Arabidopsis thaliana: one gene and its partners. The protein of the gene in region 4 interacts with the protein of the main gene of each other region in a biochemical or structural test. Each region holds a gene or a part of one and is shown on either strand. Other genes may lie near its edges. The genes, in order: MPK2, MPK16, MPK4 and AT4G08170.

Region 1 (4,414 bases), on a different chromosome or scaffold from region 4:
ACATTCATTGACTATTAATCGACGAGAAGACTTGACTTGGTCTTCTAGAATCTTTATCTCTTTGGCTCTTGATTTTTTTTTCACATCAATGGTTTCAATAATTAGTGCAGTCCTACATTTTTCCATTTACAAAAGTAAAAAAAGATTCTTATTCACACGCTGTTCATCAAAATATTTTTCCAAAGCATAAATGTTACTAATTATTGACATTTTTTCTATCATTTAAGTTAAATTTAAGTGTGTGATAGACATCAAAATATTTTTATCAAACAAAGCAATTAATACTTCTATTAATGTCACAATATACTAAGTCTGAATTCAGAATTAGGTACATGAAAGTCAAAAACACATTTATAAAAATTCTACGAATCTATGGAACATTCTATGTATCATTGAAAATTATTTCCCAAATAATTTTATTTTGATATTCTATGCATATGTTTTATTTCATGAATTTTTTTAAACAGTGTATATCTTTGTGTTAATACATTTATCTTCAAAATCATATTTAATCCAATGGTTTGCTCTTTGAACATTCGAAAATCTTCAATAAGAAAAATCACCAACAATAAGATCAGAGACAGAGTATGAAGTTTTAAGGACACATACACTTATGTACAAACGTTACAGACACTTAAGCTTGTAACCAAAAACAAAACAAAGCTCCATGACACAAACATATCACATAATTTAAAGTTATTGTTCTTCTTCTTCGACACTATTATTAACAACATTTCAAGAAGCAAACATGAAAATAAATAAGTTTAAGTTGTTGAAAGATCTCTCTGAACAGTACCTGCAAAAGACTTGATCTCAAAACTCAGAGACCTCATTGTTGTTTATGGTAGCAGCTTCTGGATGATAATGAATCATTTCCTTCCACATTAATTCTCTTATCATCTCTGCTCCCAAATCCTCGTCTTCATCTACATCGAGATCAATAGGAACTTGAGCAGGAGGATTTGCACTCGGGTCATATAAAGGCGCCATGTAAGGATGTTGAAGCGCTTCCGTGACACTAATCCTTTTCGAAGGGTCAAGAACGAGCATTTTCTGAAGCAGATCAATGGCTAAAACATTTGCACCCGGGTAAAGACGAGAGAATGATATCCCTGGTGAGTAAGGGAGTGATTCTATGTATCTTTTGGCTTTTGGGTTATCTATAAACTCGAGATCTTCCTCTCTCTGGCTACCCAAAATGTTAATGATGAGTTTAATCTGGTTTAGACATTCTGTTCCCGGGAATACTGGTTTTCTTCCAAGAAGCTCGGCGAATATGCAACCGACTGACCAGACATCAATGGAGGTTCCATAGTTGTCACAACAGAGGAGTAGCTCTGGTGCTCGGTACCATCTAGTCACAACATATTCAGTCATGAACTGACCTTTGGTGTTGCTCGTCCTCGCTAGCCCAAAGTCACATATCTTTAAGTCGCAGTTTGCATTCACAAGGAGGTTACCGGGTTTCAGATCCCGATGGAGAATGTTTGCTGAATGAATATACTTGAGCCCTCGAAGCAACTATGCAAAAGAAATAAAAAGCAAGTAAATGCAAACACCAAATGCAAACAACACACACTAATGGTAAAAGCAAATGCAAACAAATCACATACCTGGAACAAGAAGTATTGGCAATGGTCATTACTTAGAACTTGAGAAGACTTAATAATCTGATGAAGATCAGTATCCATAAGCTCATAAACAAGATAAACATCCTTAAAGCTTCTCTTATGATTAGCCATCATTACATCTTTAAGAGCAACCACATTCTCATGTCGAAGATGACGTAGAAGCTTGAGCTCCCTAAGAGTCCTCAACGCATCAATCCTATTCTCAAACACATTGTGGATCTTCTTGATCGCCACTCTCTCATTACTCTCTCTGTTAACCGAAGAGCAAACCACACCGTACGCGCCTCGGCCTATCGGTTTGATAGGCACGTATTTGGTATCGATCTCGAAAAGTGTTTGCCACATTGAGAAGTAATGCTTCCCTTGATTCCTAATTCCATTAGGTGGATCAACAGGAGTCGCCATTCTTCTACCTCCTTATAAAAACACACAACAAAAGGAATAAAAATCAAAACTTTATCGAAATTGGAACAATCCACAAATTTGAAAATATACACAACACAGAATTTTGAATTGCTTCCAACAAGTGACAATGAAAGATCAAATTTTTAGTTTTGATCTTAGGGTTCTCTAAGCTTAAGTTTACAGATTCAAAGGTTAATATTTTAGATTTCACTAATGATCAAAAGCTTTGTTTAAGAGAAAAGAACAAAAGTTGAATCTTGATCCGATGTTGAGATTGAGCTAGAACGATCTGAATTTTGCAGAGAGAGCTTACCCGTTGAGTGTTGGGGACGAATCAGATTCGTCAGTGACGATCGCCGGCGAGATTTGGGTGGAGAGAAAGAGGAAGTTGGAGAGATTTGGCTGGTGAGAGTGAGAGATTTGGTCAACGCTATGACCGTTGACTCTCTAGTTTCTCGTTCATTACCATTTTAGAGCTGTTTCTTTCTCTGTCTCCTTCACTAATCTGTCTTTAACTTTGGGCTTAATTAAGCCCAACCTGATTTGTAATAATTAACGGTAATTAGATATTTAAGATAGTGAGGAATTAACAAAAAGTGGACGTGCCGGAGTGGTTATCGGGCATGACTAGAAATCATGTGGGCTTTGCCCGCGCAGGTTCGAATCCTGCCGTTCACGTTTTTTCACTTCTTATTTTAACATCGAAACGTGATTATATAACTTCATTAGTAAATGTAAATCTAAGCTTGAAATTTATATTAGCATTTGTTCAATCACAATCTATCAATGCAAAAAAATTTCTAGTCAAAAACTCATGATACAAAGGCTTTACTATATGTACAAGACTAGTAATTGTTCGCTTGTAAAAATCGTTCTGAGTTTTGTCCTTCAATGGCGGTAAATTTTCAAAACTTGTTGTATTCGTTCCCGGCAAAGAGGACAGGTCCTTAGTTGCAAGGAGCATGGTGTGCAGCAGCACATATGACCACACCTACAAGTCCAAACCAAACAAAAAGAGGAATCAAAAGATGCCATGTTTGATCAGTGAGAGGGTTTTCAAGAGCTTTTAGAAGAAAAGCGGTCTTATACTTACTCAACAAAAGCGGTGTTATACTTCTGGTCAAGGCAAACCACACAGAGATCAGGTGTATCACCATCTCTGCTTGTACCACCTGGTAAGACGTTTTTGTAAGCAGAGCAATTCCAAGTGTATGCAGAAAAAGGATTCACATGTTACTACTACAAAGTACAAACTCTAATGGATAGATACTATTACTACCTCCAGTTACTGGTTTGGCTCTCCTAGCAGCTGCATCAACAACTCTGCAACAAGTTACCCAACACTTAACTCGCAACTCGCAACTCGCAATGAATACTTCATACGTGGCTGTGGTTAGGGTGCGTCATACCTTTTCAGTGCGAATTGTCGCCGCCTTCTTTCTAGAGTATCTTCAATTCTCTTTAGAATATATTCAATCACAGGCTTTGAAATAAGAATCACACCAAGAACAGTTAAACCCATGGAGGCATACTTGAACCTCCTGCCAAAAGAAAGAGATCTTTTAGAATTTTTTTCAATCATAGTTTTCGAAGAAAAGAATAGGCAAAAACAGAGAAAAGAAACAACCTTGACAAATCTCCCAATTTAGAGATGAGCTGATCTAGCGGTATATAAGTGACGTAGAAAGGTCCTTGCTCAGGTTTTTGAATCCTGACATTCCCCATGCCATCCCTAACAGCCTGTTAACATGGTAAGCAACATAACAAAGAGAGATATAAAACGTATTTTGGACCGCTAACAGATAAAAGACATACCTCACCAACAACTGTAAGCGGTGTACCAATTGGGACAACACGCTCAACGTGTCTTACTCCAAGTATCTATAGACAACAATGGTGCCACAATGTATAAGCATTGTCAAAACAAAAGCAAATCAATGAAAAGTGGTAGGAAAGGAAAAGAAAAGACCTTAAAGCCTTTAAGATAACCCAACGCTCCTTGAACAAGCGATACCGGCTCTGCCTTTTCAAATACATCACTACCAACCGTCAACGCCAAGCCTAATTCACCTTGAGATACATCTACATTCACACGACCTGTCCCGTCGTCCTATAGGCAACCAATATCATATTTTGTAAATGACTTTAGAAAGTAATACACTCCAATCAAAGTCCAACAGACATACCAGATACCAGGGGACTTCCTTAGTCATCGGCTGCATCAATGTACTATTTCGAACCCATGAAAATCTCCAATTACGTCTCAAAACCTGTTGTTCTGCCTGAAAAAAATCGTTTCTTTTTAACATATCCAAAATCACAGAAACGAAAAACTAGATTATCTAATCCAATTCATACATACCGTTCTCTTGAGAAAT
Region 2 (5,675 bases), on a different chromosome or scaffold from region 4:
CGGTTGCAACTACTTTGGCCCTAGCAGAGCAGCATCATTGTTTGCAGCTAAAAGCAGTGTGTCTCAAATTCGTGGCACTGCCAGAGAACCTGAAAGGTAAACACACAAGATCTTTCTTTTTAATCGATCTGAATCAACTCTGTTCACATGATGAGACTTGTGTCTGTTTTTTCCCTTTTGTTATGATCAGCTGTGATGCAAACAGATGGGTTTGATTATCTGAAAGAGAGTTGCCCATCTTTACTAACGGAGCTATTGCAGTATGTGGCGAGGCTAAGTGAACACTCTGTTATAGTATCTGGACATCGAAAAGAAATATTTGCCGATGGTTGTGACGCGAGTGGAAGACGAGTGAAGCCCCGGTTGCACTGAATGGGAGAGAAAGAAGAAAGATTTGTGCATTGTATAATCTCTGTTATGGATAATGGCTGATCTAATCGGATCTAGCAAGTACAATGAATCGTTTTCAACGCGTTTTCTCATAAATCAAAGATCCAATGAAATTTGGGGTTTATTGTTGGTGCATATCAGATTATTAGGTGAAACAGATTGAGTTCATGGGATATAAGAATCGTAGACAGTGTAAGTGTTACAACGTAGATAAACAAAGGTTGTTTTAAGAATACAAAACTATGAAGACAAATTACATGACAGGATCTGTAAGAACTTCTTTTATCTTCTCACGCTTCCTTCTCTCATTTCGCTCTTAAGCATGTCTTCACGTTTCGGCTCTTGATAACACAATGGATGACTCAAAGGGATACTCTTTTTAGCTCTCCCTGAGACGTGAGGTGGTAAAGCTAAAACTAGAACCATAACATCATGTTTAATACCAGCGACTCATTGCAGTATCTTGTGCTGCAGACACTTTTTGTGGTATATACTGAGTGTTTGGCTTCAATCTACTTGGACCTTCAGCAGCGGTGGCGCAATCTTCATCTCCTCTGTTGCTTTTGCAAGGTTGAGTCCTCTTTGGGTATTGAGACGCAGCAGCTGGATTTCTGACCATCCTTCTCTGTTGTTGTTCAAGAGCTTCAACGCCTGTGGCTGCGCCGCAGTTGTTATAGCGTAACACTGATCCAACTACTTTACCAGGCCTAGCTACTGCAGCACCTGCTTCATTACAACCAGATAAATGTTCAGGAGACAGAGTTATTCTGCATCATAACATTATATACAGAGAGGGTGAGAGACCTTGGATTGTTTGAGGGACGTTGATAGGAATTCTCGACATTGGCATCTGGGCATTCCTGTCTGCACCCCGAGGTCTCTCGTCTCTAATGCTACACTTGGAGAGTCCATCAGTGACTTCAGCTGAACTCTGTTGTGCCACCGGATGATTGTTATCAGAGTACAATACGCAAGCCCTGCAAAACATAAAAAGAGGCTTTGTTGAGCTGTTTCGAAAGAATCCCAAATGATCAAATTTTTAAAGGACGTAAAGCATACCTTGGTAATGATGCATGCTGTTGCCTCTCAGGGGGATTATGAGAAGTACCATTCTTGTAGTGTTCCTCGAGGTAAGCAAATTGTTTCTTGAAATGTTCCACCGCACTGCAGAATGAATAATACATTAACCATAAGAACATGGATAATACACAGGAGTATAGTATGAAGCAGGTCAGCTCAGGCCGGTACCTCGGGTACATAAAGTTAGTTGGCTCTGATCCATCCAAGTATTCTTTCAGCATCTTTGGGTGGTACTCCAGAGACTCTCTGTATATGAGCTCTCGGACGTCTTCTTTTGTGATCCTCCGCCTTTCAAACTCAAATTCCAACTTTGTGACAGGTTGAGCAGAAGGCTCTCTTTCAACCTTAGCTAAACCCTTGAAGTACACATCTGCAAGCGCCTGAGGTAACACATAAAACCATTTAGTTAGCTATAACCAAAGTTACATCATAAGGAGTGTAAAGAACGAAATGTATGAACCACCTCTTCAGCTGTAGGCCGGTCCTTGGGTTCAAAAGACAACATCTTTTCTAGAAGACGAAGAGCAAGAGGATCAGTATGTGGGAACTTATGTGAAAAAGGAATAGGCTTCTTCTTCCTCATGCTGCTCAAGTATCTTCGAGCTTTCTCGTTCCTAACCTGTTTCAGTGTAAGAAATTCAGCCAAAAAAAGAAACAATGCTTAAGCATTGTGGAAAGGAACACATACCCTTCCAATGGCTTCAGCAGATGGAGTTCCCAGCATATCCGTCATCAGATCCAATTGATGGACCACATTTTTCCCGGGGAAAAGAGGTTTCCCTGTTAAGAGTTCTGCAAAAATGCACCCGATGCTCCATATATCTATTGCCGGTGTATACTGAACAGAAGCATAGATAAAGAAAAAAAATGTTACCATAAAATTTTATAATCTGAATGAGAGAGCTATAGTGTCTACTGACTAGATTCCCTATGAAAATTTGAAACATTCGATGAAAGTATATATACAAAATCATGGTCACCTTTGAGAAAAAAGATCCACATAGTTCTGGAGCCCTGTACCATCGAGTAGCTACATAATCCTGCGATCAGAAAGCAGTAGGAATAAAAAATTGGTTTCATACCAAAAAGAGTAAACTTGTAAAGAGTAAGCATTTAAATTACTACTACTCACAGTCCAGAATATCGCAGTCGGTGTATCATTGAATGCGACTCTTGCAAGTCCAAAATCACAGATCTTGAGTTTGCAATCAGCATTTGCCAATATGTTTTTGGGTTTAAGATCCCGATGAAAGACATTAGCTGAAAGGAAGAGAAAAAAAAAGTATTTTCAGAAAGATAATCATAAACTTATACTAATCAATGAAATTTTATTGCTCGCTAGCTTAACCTGTGTGTATATACTTGAGGCCACGAAGAAGCTGATAGAGGAAAAACTGATAATGCTCAGGAGTCAAATCATCATTTGCCTTAATAACCTGATGCAAATCAGATTCCATAAGCTCGAAAACCACGTAAATGTCTCGAAACTCTCTTCTTGAAGGCGGCAACAAGATGTGTTTGATCTCAACAATGTCAGGATGGCGTAAGAGTCTAAGAAGTTTGATCTCACGAAGAATGCGAGTTGCATCCGAAACATGCTCAAAGATATCATTGATTTTCTTAATCGCAACTTTCTCTCCGGTATGTGTATCGTAAGCAGAACAGACAACTCCATAACTTCCTTTACCAATCACTTCCTCTATTCTGTATCTGCTTCCTTCACCATATTCCGTGAAGAAATCTACCTCAACTGATGACTGAATATACAGAAAAATCTATTGTCAATATCAAAAGCTTCAATACAGAGAAAGATTAGGACTAAACTAAAAGGCAGTAACAGTAAAAAGGATTGCTACAGATCCTAATCAGTTCTAATAAGCAAATCTGATACATAAGAGATTGAAAAATTGGACCTTTTTGCGGTGATCAGGCTGCATCTTCAGCTACAGGGCATTCAAAGGACGCTTACGAAGACCAAATGTAATAGCTTCTGAAACCCAAACTTAGTGAGCTTTTGAATCAAAAAAATGCAAAGACTGAGAATTTTAGTTCCAAAGGCAATGTCAAAAACAGAGAGCTCTATATCCAAATCCCGAAATCCAGAATCGATTGAAACAAATCAGAGTAGTTCCCGAGACCAAAAAAAAGGAGGCAAATTTATGGGGTGAAACAAGGAATAACCTAATCGAGATTTCTTTGCTTTTTGAAGTGAAATCAAAGAGATCAAAAGAAGGAAGCGATGGGTAATTTGAGAATCACTGAGATTGAAGAAAGACGAGGTTTTTATCTTCTTCGATCAATCTCTCTGCTTGAAATGGCTAAAAGGAAAAAGGAGAGAGTTTTTGAAAGTCGAGAGAAGCTTTTATGGTTCAGAAACCCAAAAATGATTCTTTTGAGCTAATAAAATTTCTTTACAGGATCTGAAATCTCACGAAGCAGACGAAGAGGCAAGTTTATTTGCTCACTTTTGTAGAAGAAAGTGTAGAGAGGAGAGATCTATGAGATGAAGAACAGAACAGAACAAATTATTAAAATATTATTATTATTCGTTTCTTTTATTGTGATAATTGAAAAAAGCGGATAAGTGGAGTCTGATTATCGTTGTACGAAAACTCCAATTTGCCCCCCAAGGTTTATGGGTACTTGCGACTTTTGTCTTAAATCTAGCTTTTGGATAATGTCCAAACGTCGAATATAATACAGTGTGGATATTTTTGTATAAACTATTTTAATATATGCTCTTCTTAATGAATAGATATCCGATTTATTATGGATTAGTGATGACTTATAATTATTACAATAATAAATAGTTCGTTTACTTTATAATTTTCTTTCGTGTCATAGTCGTTGTTAAAGACATATAAATGAAGTGGATTATCCTATATTTCGAATCCGATTGAAATGAGTGGTTTAAATTTTTTTTCGTATGCAGTTAATGAGTAATCTTACTTATTTTTAAGATATAGAATTTGACCGATAAGACATACTTAATTATCTAGAGACAATATTTATGAGTTATGTACAATGGTACAAGAAACTTACAAAAACTTATATATGCAATCGTCAATCTAGTATTTTATTTGAAATATGTATTTCGTATCTAATATCTTCTGTCTTTGGTGGGTTCTTTGAAATTGCTTCATAACTGTAGGTGCTTGCATGCGTAAACTTTTGCATGGTTGGAAAAATTGCATTTGCATCGATTTCAAACGTATAAATAAAGCGAAGCTTTAAATCTTCAAGTAGATGTCACTACAAGAAAACACGCCAGTTGCGAGGGAAGAAACCGTCGCTAGTCTCTCGCAAAAAGCATTTAGCGAGGGAATTGCGACGAACTCCAGTTCCTCGCAAAACGCGCGTCGTAAAATCAAATTCGTAGCAAGTTCCTCGCAAATGTTGCGAGGAACAAGTTGCCTCGCAAAACACACGCAATTTGCAAGGGAAGCAATCCGTAGCAAATTCACAGCAAATTTCGGGTCTCGCAAGTTTCTCGCTAGTTGCGACGGACGACCAGACTCGCGAAGCACACGCAATTTGCGAGGGACGTACTCGGTAGCATATTAGCTGCAACAGTAGCCTCGCTCTTTCCTCGCAAGTTGCGAGGGAATACTTCAGTAGCAAAGTAGTCGCAAATTCTTTGTCCCGCTAATGCCTCGCAAAATTTGCGATGGATTTGCGTGGCTTTTATCTGTAGTCGCAAATCCGTAGTAAAGTTTGCGATGGATTCGCGGTAAATAAGCGACTCTTTTCTGTTTTGTTTTAAGCATGATTACTGTTGAATATAGGGATTACTGTTCTACTTAACAATATTTAATGGTTATCTTAATTGGATTTTTATACTAAACTTTGAAGTTGAATACTAATTAAGAAACCTTAAACTCATATTTAAAAGCTGAAATTTTAGGTTTCAAGTACAGAAAAAGAAACTGAATACAGAATGTTAGAAGGCCAAATAATTTTACATAACAAACCAACAAAAGATTCAAGTTTTGATGAGTGAAAAAGAAACTTAATACAGAATGTTAGAAAGCCTCAGATGGAGATGACCCAGTGTTTGGGTTAGCTACAACAGCCTCAGGTTCGACAGCTTCAGGTCCGATCCCAGCAGTTGTGGCATTAGGCGCATCAGGTGGATTGGAGCTGACTGGTTCAGTTCTTGAAGAGGATCTGACTCGAAACAAGGCAGCAAACTCTGGATCCTTCTT
Region 3 (5,703 bases), 4.6 Mb from region 4:
TAATAGAGAAGCCTCTTAATCACAGAGTCACTTGGATGATGACCATGTTCTCGTCCTTCAACCCTGGAAACGTTCATCAGTCTAATGAATTTGTCGTTGGAACCCGGAAATGGTTGATATTATATTCCTCCTTTTTCCCAAAAACATAACACAACTTATATATAATACTAATAAAAATGCATCACAATATATTTGATCAGGAGAATTAAAGTTCATCCAAGAGGGTCTATGGGTGAAAAAGACAAATCATTTTCTGTGTATCTATCGGCACTAGGGTTTGTCAATAATGCACCAAAGACTAAAACTTACGCGAGGTTCAAGCTGCGTGTATTGGATCAAGTTAGCAGGAATCATGTTGAGAAAACAAGTATGTGTTTATTATGTTTTGGAAAGTCTTGTGATGCATGATGGTTAAATACAGTACTAATCTTTTTCTCCTGGTACGTATAGTTTCGGGTTGGCTTGGTGCAGAACCTGATGACCGCCATGGCTTTGCGGATTTCATGCCTCTAGGGGAACTTGATGACCCTTATTTGGTGAAGGATAAGCTTTATGTGGGAGTTGACTTTGATGTCATTTCCGTCTCTAATTACTGTTAGCTATATAATCAGCAAGAAATATTTATAACGTATGAATAAAATGCTGGAGAATATATATAGTACTATTATGTAACTAAGCTACTGATGCCGTAATGACTTGTGATGTGTGTCGACGTACGTGTTGCTGGAGATGAAGATGATGTGCTTGGCGTGTATTTTCAGTTTATGGGCATAACAAGACAATCTACAAGATTTCATAAGCCCAGTTTATCAACTATAGAGACTTGGTTCTCAATCGTTATTGTTTCTTGTTAGTTTTGTTTTGCAAATAAGATCTTGTTTTTTTTTCAAGGAATCGTGAGCATTCCATTGCTTTTACTACCTATATATATGAGAAAAACGCCAAAAGAAAAGACATAATTTGTTTGCCAAAAGAAACTTGTGTTCCACGTTGGGGATTCTTTGATCTTCGAACACAATCACAACCTCAACGACGTCACTCAAGTCTCCGGCGCTTTGGAATACGAGTTCTGCGACTCTTCTTCTCCTAAAGCCGTCTACAACCCTGGACACGATATCGTAACCCTCACGGAACCAGGTTTTCACTAGTTCATCAGCTCAAACCATGCTCAATGCGCATCGGGACAGAAGCTCGACATTCTTGTCGTTCATGACTCGTCACGTCCCATTCCTCCAACACCACCGAGCAAGATCCTTCCTCCTTGAAATATCTACAGAGTTGGTGTGGCTCCAAGGGATGGAGTGTTCCGCAAGAAAGTTACTTTTATTACAGATGGAGTGAGAAGACGCAGTTTCCGATCGGAGACAGTCTTCTTTTCGAATACGACAACGAAGTCAACGACGTCTTAGAGATCAGCGGGGACCTTGAATTCATATCCTGCTACCCGATTTCTCCCGTAGCCGTGCACATGACAGGCCACGATCTCGTCACGCTCACAGAACCAGGAGTCCATTATTTCATTAGCTCTAAGACTCCAGGTCACTGTTACGCTGGGCTTAAGCTACGAGTCGTGGTCGGACCACTCACCAAAGCCGTACCTGTCCCCAATGTTCCGACGAAGAAGATAGAGTTGTCACTTATGGACCGCTTCAACAGATGGTTACGCACCTTCGGACCTCAACCCCATCATTAAGATAATTAGTGGATGTAATTAGAGTTAAGACTTCTCTGTATTTTCTTTCGACTAAAAAGTAAGGAAATTTAAATACACTCTATTGCAAAACACAGCTCAAAGGTTGTTCTTTTCTTTTTTTCCAATTTTTTAGGATGTTATTCAAATTACAGACATATTATCAAACTTATCAGAGATTTGATAACAAAAGCAGAGCAAAACAAAACATAGCATTTTGATGAGTTTCCTTTTAAGGATATATATCTCTCTCTCTTTCTCTCACACTGAGTCTTGAGGATTGAACTTGACTGTTTCACGGTATATAAGCTCCTTAATGTTCTCTTCTGTCAAAGTAGGTTGCTCGAAATCAAAATTGAACGGCCTCACACATACCGGTTCTTCGTTGATATCATGCAGCGGCGCCAAATATGGGTGGCACAACGCCTCATCAACTACACACACAAAAAACATGTTCAGAAAATAGCCGAAGAAACAGAGAAGCAGTTATATAAAATATAACTCACCTGTGATGCGTCTGCTTGGATCAAAAACAAGCATTTTCTCCAGCAAATCGACTGCACCAGCCGACATGTTTGGGAATCTAGCAGCAAAGTTCTGTCTAGGGTACTGTGGAAGCTGTCTAACGTATCTTCTTGCATTGTCACTTCTTAAGAATCCCAAGCTTGAGTCATCAGGAGATCCTATAAGCTGCTTTCCAAAGATTCATTAATACCGTGAAGAGAGACTAAGTGGTGATTCTTTGGATGAAACATACTAAACTAGATTACCTCAGTGATGAGTCTAAGCTGATGAACATAATCTTTACCGGGAAACAAGGGCTCTCGTGTCATTGTTTCACCGAGTATACAACCGACAGACCAAATATCAATTGCTGCTGTGTATTCAGAGCAATTAAGTAGCAGCTCTGGAGCTCGATACCAACGTGTAACAACATATTCAGTCATAAAGTCAGTCTCGGATTTGGTCCTCGCAAGCCCGAAATCCCCAAGCTTTAGATCACAATTTGCATTCAGGAGCAAATTGCTAGGTTTCAAATCTCGATGCAATACATTAGCTGAATGAACATATTTGAGCCCACGCAACAACTGATACAGAAAAAACTGCAAAACATAATCGAAACTAATTACTAAACACAACTTCAAAGCATAACAAACGAAATCCTTATTAGCTCTCACTTATAAAGTATCAAGCAATACTCATCAGATGCTCTAACACAATAACAGCTGCTTCTAAAGTAGAAACAGAAGATTCAGCTGCTAGATATAAGCAAGATGGAGATTGATGCATACCCGACAATGATCATCAGTTAAGGGTTGGTTAGAGCGAATAATTTGGTGGAGATCAGTGTCCATAAGCTCATAAACAATGTAAACATCATTGAAGTTCTCTCTCTGCGGTGGTTTTATTATATCCTTTACAGCAATCACCTGCACAATAAACCAATATAAGATTCACACAAAAAAAACCAGAGATGCTGATGATTAGTAACACGTACATTTTCATGATCCATATGCTTGAGAAGCTTAATCTCTCTCAAAGTCCTTTTAGCATCGATAATATTGTCAAAAGCATTACCAATCTTCTTGATAGCTACCTCCTCTCCAGTCTCTGAGTTTGTAGCAGCACTGATCAACAATTATCAACACAAGTTATTATAATAACAACAGATTCCAAAACCCTAATTCCCAAATCTAAGAACCCCAGAAGTGAACATTACATGTTTCAAAAACCCAATCTGATTAATTTTGGAACTCACCAGACAATTCCATAAGCGCCTCTACCGATAGGACGAAGAGGAGGAACATACTTTCTAGAAACTTCGAAGAGATTGCCATAGACATTATACTGAACATAGCTACCACCATGAGTAGCCACTCCTTTGCTGCTGCTTTGATCACCCGAGCTTCCGAAACAACTCTCCGCCGACATCGGAGCAAAATTCCTCACAACAACGAAAACGAAGAACCCTAGAGAAATTGAGGAATCGAGAAGATGGGTGTTGACATTTCGTTATAAAGTCTCTACCTTTACCCTTTTTTTTTTATTGAACGGTAAAGAGGAAGTCTCCTCTCGAGTCACCCGTGACCCTTAAACCGGGTTTGCGTCTTCTTCTTTGGTTTTTGTTCTTTTTCTTTGTAATGTCAATTTTCAATTTTGTTTATGGTATCGAGTTGGGTATATCCGATGATTGTGTCTCTAAGTAATTGAGGAACGGGTAAGTGTTTTTAGTCAATTGGTTAAGTTTTGTTTACTGGAGTTTGCTTCTACTAAATCGCGTTATCCCACGAAGTAGAGATTAGATATGGTTATGACTTTTGCCGAAAAAATGTAATTGATGAAGTTTGTAGAATGGAACAAGTTAATGACTTCATGTAGGAATGTTCTTGATATCATATTATAAAGTTTAAAAGAATCTAGATGACAACTTTTCTCCAATAAGAATTTAAGTACGACTTGGTATATTGGTGGTGTACAAGTCAATGGGCGGCCAAATTGTTTTTGACCATAAAACTGACCTTTGATTCCAAAACCATTAGTGAAAAAAGGTTTATGTATAAGATAAAATGACATCATTTTGATTTTTTTTAAAAAATCATGGTTAAACAACTTATATAACCATGTTGAAGTTTGGTGCATTTGTTATTATTAATAGCTAGAATATCTGGTTTGCTTTGATTGATTGATCATGTAACCATGAAAATAACACTGATTTTTTTTGGTCTAGTGATTTACAATGGGCCTCAAGCAAACCCATCACTTATCCATTATCAACTAAGATGAACTAAAGCACAATTCTGACTAACTTGAAAATGTAGTTATAGCTTAGCACCGATTGAAAAGAGAGAGTTATCAATATTTGAAGCGTTTTAAAGTCTCATTTTTATCTGCATTTGTTATTACTTAACATCAACGATACCATAATTACATGTTTCCTCTATATTCACAAACAAGTCTTAGCTCTTTTCCTCTATATTAACACTTTTAACCATCGTTGGCAATGTCACTCCTAGCTCTTCTGCGCATTTCGTCCACAGGCTCTCCAACAATGCGTCTCGGGCAGAGATCACCATCTTCGACAAGCAACGTGTTTCCTTGGAGACTAGCTCAAACCTTTCCGAAAGTTCTATCACTGACTTCTCCAATGGTTCCACTAACAAAATAGGAACCGACCCTTCTTGTACCGCTGTGTAAAGCTTCTTCACACCGGTTTCAACAGCCTCGAGATCTTTTATAACCGTGAATCCGTCTGATAAAAATGTGTTTTTGATCTCCGGGTTAATAGTGTTCTGCAGTTCCATGAAAGCTTGAACCCATGGAAGCTCCTCCATCTCCTTTGGAATGGTTAGATAGAAGAGATTCTTGGAAGAACCCGAGAACGATGCATCAAACACGCTGAATATGTATAAAGTCTTGACCTTTACACCGTATAAAACTCGTAAGAGAACTTTTCCTTCCGCAGAGTATTTCTTCTTCCCCTTCTTGGAGATATGATGATGATGATCCATCGATTCAACCAGCCTACTCAAAACCGCGCCCCAGTTTTCGATACTCGGGTTCTTGGAAACCATGTGCTGATTCCAACGCTGAAGAATATTGCCACTGTTTGTCTCCAGCTTACTAAAAGCAAACTTTAGTAATAGATTGCCATGTTCCAAATGATATATCTCTGAGGTAAAGGCGTTGCAGAGTTCCCGCTTCAAGCTAAAGTCAGAGAAGATATAAATGAAATTCTCCTCCAAATCCGATACTGGAACCTCTAAATCCTTCACGAGCGTCCTGATACTCTTGTGTGTCTCACAAAGAGACTGCATGGCTTGTATCATCCAAGAAACACTAACGATATCATTCTTATCCTTTGGTACAAGTTCTCTAATCGATACCGTCAAGTTAGTCTCGAAATTGTTCAACAGTGAGAGAAGCTTTGGCGATAATCGAGCATTGTTCTTCTTCGTAAACAGAATCTTGAACGGGTTCCGAGAGCGTGTACGTTGTTGGCTCATATCAACTGA
Region 4 (6,301 bases):
GTATTCTTCTCCATAGCAAGTTCCAAGCGAAGAAGATTAAGTACACACAAAAAGAAGATAATTGTTAAAAAGCTTTTGAGGTTTTAGTTTTTTTGGTTGGGTTGAGGAACTTGCTCTGATATATATATATATATAATATATGCTTCTATGTCAAAGACAGAACATAGAGAGTTTCAAGTGAACTCCAAGACAAGCAAGAGCTAGACACAATACTTTGAAAAAAATAACATTATTGATTTTGTGATTTGAAGAAGAAAAAGAGAAACTACAATTGCTTTGTCTTAAACCCAGGAAAGTGTAGTTTGCTTGAATTAAAATAGAAGGCTTCAATTGTTGTCATAGACAACCATGTGAAAGAACGAAAGAATTCAAAGCTGAAGCTCAGGTTTCGTTTTCCTACTTGTGTTTATTAAACCTTACAATGCAAGTAAACCTATTTTTTAAGGTTTCAAAATGGTTTCTATCCTCAGAAGGTTCACATTGATCTAACCAAATTGTTGTACTAGATAAGGTTTAAAAGCTACTTTATATAAAAGAGTCAATAATCAACAATTTGTGATGTAAATTTTGTAAGATTACTCATAAAAGAGTGCATCCAAAACTGATCCAAACTATAAACTCCAAGTTTCAAACAAACTAACAAGGACATGATCAAAAGATAAGAGCAGATTAAAACCAAAAGAAATGACATTTATGGTCAAAATAGTACAAAGCCAACCAAATCAAAAGATAGAAGCAGTCACAAAGTGAAGCCATGCCCATATGAGTAGTGTGTGACATAAGGTCTATTCACTTTTTGATATGGTGACATTGTAGTGAGATTCAGACAATTCTCTATCCTTAAATCTCTAAAGGTCCCAAGGATTTTCTTTTAAATGCAATCTTCCATTGTTCTTTTGTACAGCACAATGAAGCTAAAGAACAACATCGAGGGAAATCGGTGCTTTGTCCTGTACAGAAATAAATTGCATAGACTACTAATCTTCTTTTTTTCTTTGGGGAGGAACAATGGTCTCTCCGTTGAGTTTAGTATTGATCTGCCAAAGCTCGTTTCTTACATTGGCTTTGTACCACACTCAGTAAGAAATCAGTGAATACATGCTCATACTCTGGCATTTTCCCGTACCCTGCGCAAGTTCTTTTGTTCTTAAACCACATGTTTGTGATAGTCTATTGCAAAAAATGTGTGGAAATCAAACTTGCCTGGGAAATAGTTGATGTCGATCACATAAAACCGATCTCTTGTCCCGTGCTCTCTAATTATGTCTAAATTGAACAGCCTTAGACCCTGCAACAAATTAGAGATCAGTAGAGTTTGATATAATACTCCTGCTTGGATATATAGTAGAGAGGACTGAAACATACCAATCCACGACGGAGTTCCTTTGCCAGTCTCTCCAACAGAGGACGTGGTGGAAGCTCTGCAACGAGAATGAGGATATTGTTAGGTCCTCATCAAAGGAAAAATGCAGACGATTTTTACTGATGATGAAGAGGATTTTACCGGCAATGCTCGGGTCCAGATCTGCATCATCAGCTGAAGCTGCAGCACAAGAGACCCGTGGGAAGCGGAATACACCAGCTGATTTGGGGAGTTCTCGTCTAGAGACATCAGGTAGGGAGAAGCGCCGGACAACTCTAATAGCCTCCCCAACAATGTAAACCTTGAAAAGAACACCTCCTGCGAAAGCCAAGCATTTAGATAGGTAATCAAATTATCTAAGTTCTAGTACAGGCAATGATAACCACTAAAATCTCATACCATGGTTAACAAACTCCTGAAGAACAAGAGGAGGCTCGAGCTTCAGAAGGGAGTGTTGATCGTAAGCCAGCGAAAGCTCATGTGACTTTGCACTTCCATCAGCAACCAATGGCTTTGCAACTACGATTTTAAACATCAAATTAAATAATTTACTTATAGATCCATTAATAATGCACAACTAAAACTTCAGCCACCCACCAATTGAACAAACACAGGCCATGGTGGCTTTTGTGATAGACAACAAGATGCCACATGAAGCTAAACGAAAGTCATTAACAGAACATAAGGAGGGAATCATACCAAGAGGTAGTCTCAGACCAGCATTATTGACAGCCTCCGGAATTGAAGATGCATCCTTTTTAATTACCAATTGCTTGGGCACACCAACGCGTCCTGCACAATCAGAGCAACTTCTACTACTCAGATACACAGAACTCTACTAATAAAATCTTTAACCTTAGCGTCCCTAACAGCAAATAGCAAGTGATTACACATGAATATTTACCATTACTATCAGACAGATTCATGTCCGCAACACACTGAAGCATTGACTGACGATTACGGAGATGTAGTATTGCATCTGGAGGATCAAGAACTGTGACATCTGGATGTGCTAGCCTAAATTCCTGAAATTATTAGAAACAGTTATGCTCACACATAGTCTACTTTTCAACACCCAAAAGTGCATCCCTGCTAATGGTCATAAACAGAAAACTTCTATCTCTGTATTGCTGAGATCTCCTGAGATATTGATCTACATTGATATTATTATTAACACAGCGACAGTGTCAGTCTAAAAACTGTATCCCCAACGTTGAACTCTTCACTATCCTGCAACTAAGATTAAGAATTAAACTAATCTACTGATGAAACTTGCACTTTGCAACTAAAGTTTCATTGTAGACACTTTTCTATATCATCAGTATATACTATCTGAAGAGTATAAATCTAGCATTCAACTATACTCAGAAGTTGGCATTCTAATGATTCATAGTCTGATCTCCTGAGATCTGAATAGCTCTAGGATCTAAACACACAGAAACGCCGATTACTTTCTACACCAAACAGCATACTTTCATTTCTATTCTTCTAGCAATTATGAGATGTGAAATGTCTTGTTCCCCAACGAGAAATCAGATGATGGCTCTTATATATGTAGACAAGAGAGCATTACATTCTACTTAAAGATGAAATGATTTTGCATTCAACTATTACCAGGAACATGTAAACCCAATATTCAAAAAACATTACTAGTATCTAACTCTAGAAAACCTGAAGAGGTTACAGTTCTATGCCTCTGGAAGTAGAAATATTCTCACTTGCAGTAGTCTCAACCTCAATTTGTATCAACTAATGACTCACGACAAGGAAAGAGTAAAAGCTCTGGAAAAAAATTTCCATTGAGAAACAAGATTTAGAAATTAAAAGGAACTAGTTGCTAACTTGTGCAATTTACCACCATCTCTCATCTAACAAAGGCTTATATAACATAACTACATCAACATGGTACTCATCACCACAGAATGACAGACATACATGATCTAATAATCTTAGGCTATAGAATGTGCCACAGCAAATACAAAAACGGAAACAATCGTAAGACTAACCTCGAGAATTCGACGCCATTCTTTTCCAATTTGCTGCCAGTACATGTAAAAACAAACACCAAATAAGAATAATCAGGCATCAATGAAAAGAAGCTAAGCAAGAAGACGCAAAACAAGGTTAGTTTCTAACAACCTGAGCAGGGGATGTTCCCAAGACATATCTTCTGACAAACCATAGGCAAAAATAAGATGAATGTATCAGAAAACCAACAGGGTTAACAAAGATCCAATAAAACTAACCTTATGCAACACAATATCAAACGGACCCTGCTCTGAAAGTGGCTTATTCTGATCTATTGCCACAAATAATATCCCCTTATTCCTGCACAAAACACATAACTACAGTAACTAAACTTTATAGTAACACCATTTCATCAATAGAAGGTCAAAGATTCCAAAAGAAAAATCAAACAATTAAATAGTGAAGAGAATATTCTTATGAAAATTAATTTTAAAAAATTGAGAATTTGTTCATTAACAATATGCATGAAAGCAAATGATATCAAAGCGGACTATTTGACACACAAAAAATTCGTGCGGAACCGCTACATATCACTTTTGTAAACAATTTTCCTCTAAATTGGCTCATTTGAGTCCTAAATAATATCAAAGCCGACTATTTGACACAAAAAATTCGTGCCGAACAGGTACATATCACTTTTGTAAACAGTTTTCCTCAAAATTGGCTCGATTAAGTCCTAAATAATATCTGATAGCACAAACAATAAAATTAGGGTTAAAAATCAGAATCACAAACCTAGCTAAACCTTCGAGTTTTGGTTGTAAAAAGCTCTTAATCTTCTTTGATGTAAGAGCGTAACCTACAATAATGGATTTCTTCACCGGAAAAGCTTCGATTACTAACGAACACGGCGACGATGTCTCTTGCTCTGTCGTCTCCATTTCTCGAGTTCCGTTCATGGTGATCTCTTCGTTGTCCGTTAGCTTCATCTTGTGGAAAAATCAACGAAACAATTTTGGGGATTATGGAAGTGGAGAATGCGAGATCGGAGGAAGAAATTTTCTGGGTTTGATGCGTTCACAACGGAGTAAAATTTGGGATTGGTTTTACCGGGTCGGGTTTAGATCCGAATTGTTTTAGTCGGTGCTTGTGATATTTTGGGTGGGTTATGAGAGAGTAGGGAGAGGTCTGAAATATTTATAGCGGCGTGAGGGACATGTGTACACATGTATGTGTCTAACGGTTGTTTTTTTTTTTTTTTTGGTAAAGAAACATGTTTTAATTATGAGAAATGTATATTGCAATTTGAACATATTCTTGGAACTGCACTGTTTTATTTTTGTCTGAGCCAAGCCGATATATAGCTAGTTGTGATTTGTTGTTGTTTAAGAACGTGAATGATCTAGGTTGGAATTTTTTAAAATGTTAGATAGATCGATCTGGTTTGAGTTTGGAGAGTTTATTGTTGGTCGGGATTTGAAATCAATGTATTGACAAGTTTGAGAGACGATTAAATTTTTTAGATATAATTCGCAAAATGAATGTTTTAGGAGAAAATCATGTAGCTAATTTTCTTTCAAATAATATAGTTAGCAAAAAAACAAATTAATATTTTTGTATAATTTTATTAGGTAAAATAATTTTTTATCAATTTATCAAAACTCAACAACTATTTATATGACCAAAACGGTTGTATAAATGATATTAGTGAATGTTTGTGAATAAAACTTAGGTAGAATTTCATTAAAAAGAATATATATTCTATGTATAAAAAGACTTAATAAATTATTTTATTTCAAAAAAGCAGATCTCACATACTTTTAAATTTTAAAATTGGTAACTTTCTTCAAAATTCCTCTTAAAATAGTACGTCTTTCCCTTTATAAACGGCTAAGTTACTACATCACTTTAACTTTGAGCTTTTTGGTCCTCCGAATACGTCCTCACATTCTTAGTGACTTAACTAGAACTCATCTTCCCAACTCATCTTCCCATGCTTTCGAGAAAACTTTGTTTTGGCTTTTTGAGAATTGATGATCTTACCATTTCTTCAAAGAGTCCTATAAGATTCTCAACAAAAAGCCATACTACTTCAACCATTGGTTCTTTGATTTGGAGAGATGCATGTTGTAGATGTGTTTCTTAATACCATGATATCTTGGATTCACATAGAAGTCATCCCCTCCCAACTCTAGATGGAAGAGATCTTTTGCAACTTTGGAAACTCTTGTCACAAACTACTTTCGAGTATTCGAGCAGTTAATGCTCCGGTTTCAAGAATCTAAATTACAATTTGAGTAGATGCATTATCCCTTAAGGTTTAGGAAGAATACACAAATCTCAACTAGTGAGACTGTGTGGATCTCTTTAACGTATTAGAAACTCTACTTATGATGTTCTAAATGGCATAATATTTTTCATGAAGATGATTCTTGCTCCTTCAAGTGAGAGTCTCATAGTGAAGGTCGCATTACTAGAAAGTCCCTATTGTGCACCGCAAGGATTTGTTCACGAAGTTATAGATTAGCTGGACTATTACTCTTTCCCGATTTACAATGATACCCATATACGTACACATTCCTCGTGTTAGAGACCATATCTTGCCCCATCACCACCCGAGCCAATCATCCCTTCTAGAGATTATCGATCTTAAAACGCAGATGGTAAACTGCCTCTAAATATTGGGGAAGCGTAGAGACGAATGAATTTTAAACCTCATACTTTTTTGTCTTCATTCTCGAACGAAATAACATTAGATCCCTAATAGTGCTTGAGATGGTGTTAGGGATTATTCGGATGAAGATTAGGAGAGAAAATCATCATGATGAAACATAGCTCTCTCATTGGGAGACTTCTCCACACCCTCAAAAGAGTAAAAGTTTGATACCATTAAAGCTTGTGAAACGAACATTAACAACCATAATGAAAAAAGCAGATAAAATATTTTAATTTTCATTGAAAATTTTGAAA

The links.
Region 1: of the proteins of AT4G08170 (region 4) and MPK2, one has a biochemical effect on the other in vitro, tested with the Arabidopsis thaliana proteins (one large-scale study listed by BioGRID).
Region 2: of the proteins of AT4G08170 (region 4) and MPK16, one has a biochemical effect on the other in vitro, tested with the Arabidopsis thaliana proteins (one large-scale study listed by BioGRID).
Region 3: of the proteins of AT4G08170 (region 4) and MPK4, one has a biochemical effect on the other in vitro, tested with the Arabidopsis thaliana proteins (one large-scale study listed by BioGRID).

What each region holds. Positions count from the first base shown.
Region 1 is NC_003070.9:21,882,143-21,886,556, reverse strand, and holds MPK2 (mitogen-activated protein kinase homolog 2), read right to left. Parts: upstream 2,540-4,414; 5' UTR 2,350-2,539; intron 2,048-2,349; 5' UTR 2,037-2,047; coding exon 1,614-2,036; intron 1,522-1,613; coding exon 814-1,521; 3' UTR 506-813; downstream 1-505. Other genes in the region: ZCF61 (E3 Ubiquitin ligase family protein), read right to left, coding at 2,925-3,027, 3,130-3,208, 3,316-3,359, 3,446-3,577, 3,664-3,776, 3,852-3,917, 4,006-4,146, 4,223-4,318 and 1 more.
Region 2 is NC_003076.8:6,344,270-6,349,944, forward strand, and holds MPK16 (mitogen-activated protein kinase 16), read right to left. Parts: upstream 3,999-5,675; 5' UTR 3,408-3,998; coding exon 3,384-3,407; intron 3,228-3,383; coding exon 2,819-3,227; intron 2,731-2,818; coding exon 2,603-2,730; intron 2,511-2,602; coding exon 2,451-2,510; intron 2,309-2,450; coding exon 2,159-2,308; intron 2,090-2,158; coding exon 1,934-2,089; intron 1,851-1,933; coding exon 1,639-1,850; intron 1,555-1,638; coding exon 1,450-1,554; intron 1,368-1,449; coding exon 1,195-1,367; intron 1,114-1,194; coding exon 827-1,113; 3' UTR 501-826; downstream 1-500. Other genes in the region: BPM1 (BTB-POZ and MATH domain 1), read left to right, coding at 1-96, 191-372.
Region 3 is NC_003075.7:565,138-570,840, reverse strand, and holds MPK4 (MAP kinase 4), read right to left. Parts: upstream 3,925-5,703; 5' UTR 3,623-3,924; coding exon 3,450-3,622; intron 3,319-3,449; coding exon 3,189-3,318; intron 3,121-3,188; coding exon 2,983-3,120; intron 2,794-2,982; coding exon 2,461-2,793; intron 2,381-2,460; coding exon 2,197-2,380; intron 2,125-2,196; coding exon 1,952-2,124; 3' UTR 1,694-1,951; coding exon of another isoform or gene 1,277-1,693; 3' UTR 1,119-1,276; coding exon of another isoform or gene 975-1,118; 3' UTR 837-974; coding exon of another isoform or gene 765-836; 3' UTR 600-764; downstream 1-599. Other genes in the region: AT4G01390 (TRAF-like family protein), read left to right, coding at 1-112, 201-367, 451-599; AT4G01380 (plastocyanin-like domain-containing protein), read left to right, coding at 765-836, 975-1,118, 1,277-1,693; BPS3 (BPS1-like protein), read right to left, coding at 4,648-5,694. UniProt on the Arabidopsis thaliana protein: The ANPs-MKK6-MPK4 module is involved in the regulation of plant cytokinesis during meiosis and mitosis. Essential to promote the progression of cytokinesis and for cellularization (formation of the cell plate) during male-specific meiosis.
Region 4 is NC_003075.7:5,162,681-5,168,981, forward strand, and holds AT4G08170 (Inositol 1,3,4-trisphosphate 5/6-kinase family protein), read right to left. Parts: upstream 4,513-6,301; 5' UTR 4,321-4,512; coding exon 4,127-4,320; intron 3,692-4,126; coding exon 3,610-3,691; exon of another isoform or gene 3,415-3,609; coding exon of another isoform or gene 3,403-3,414; coding exon 3,370-3,402; exon of another isoform or gene 2,389-3,369; coding exon 2,268-2,388; intron 2,156-2,267; coding exon 2,063-2,155; intron 1,883-2,062; coding exon 1,763-1,882; intron 1,682-1,762; coding exon 1,505-1,681; intron 1,422-1,504; coding exon 1,366-1,421; intron 1,289-1,365; coding exon 1,204-1,288; intron 1,128-1,203; coding exon 1,027-1,127; 3' UTR 540-1,026; downstream 1-539. Other genes in the region: AT4G08160 (glycosyl hydrolase family 10 protein / carbohydrate-binding domain-containing protein), read right to left, coding at 1-14. UniProt on the Arabidopsis thaliana protein: Kinase that can phosphorylate various inositol polyphosphate such as Ins(3,4,5,6)P4 or Ins(1,3,4)P3. Phosphorylates Ins(3,4,5,6)P4 to form InsP5.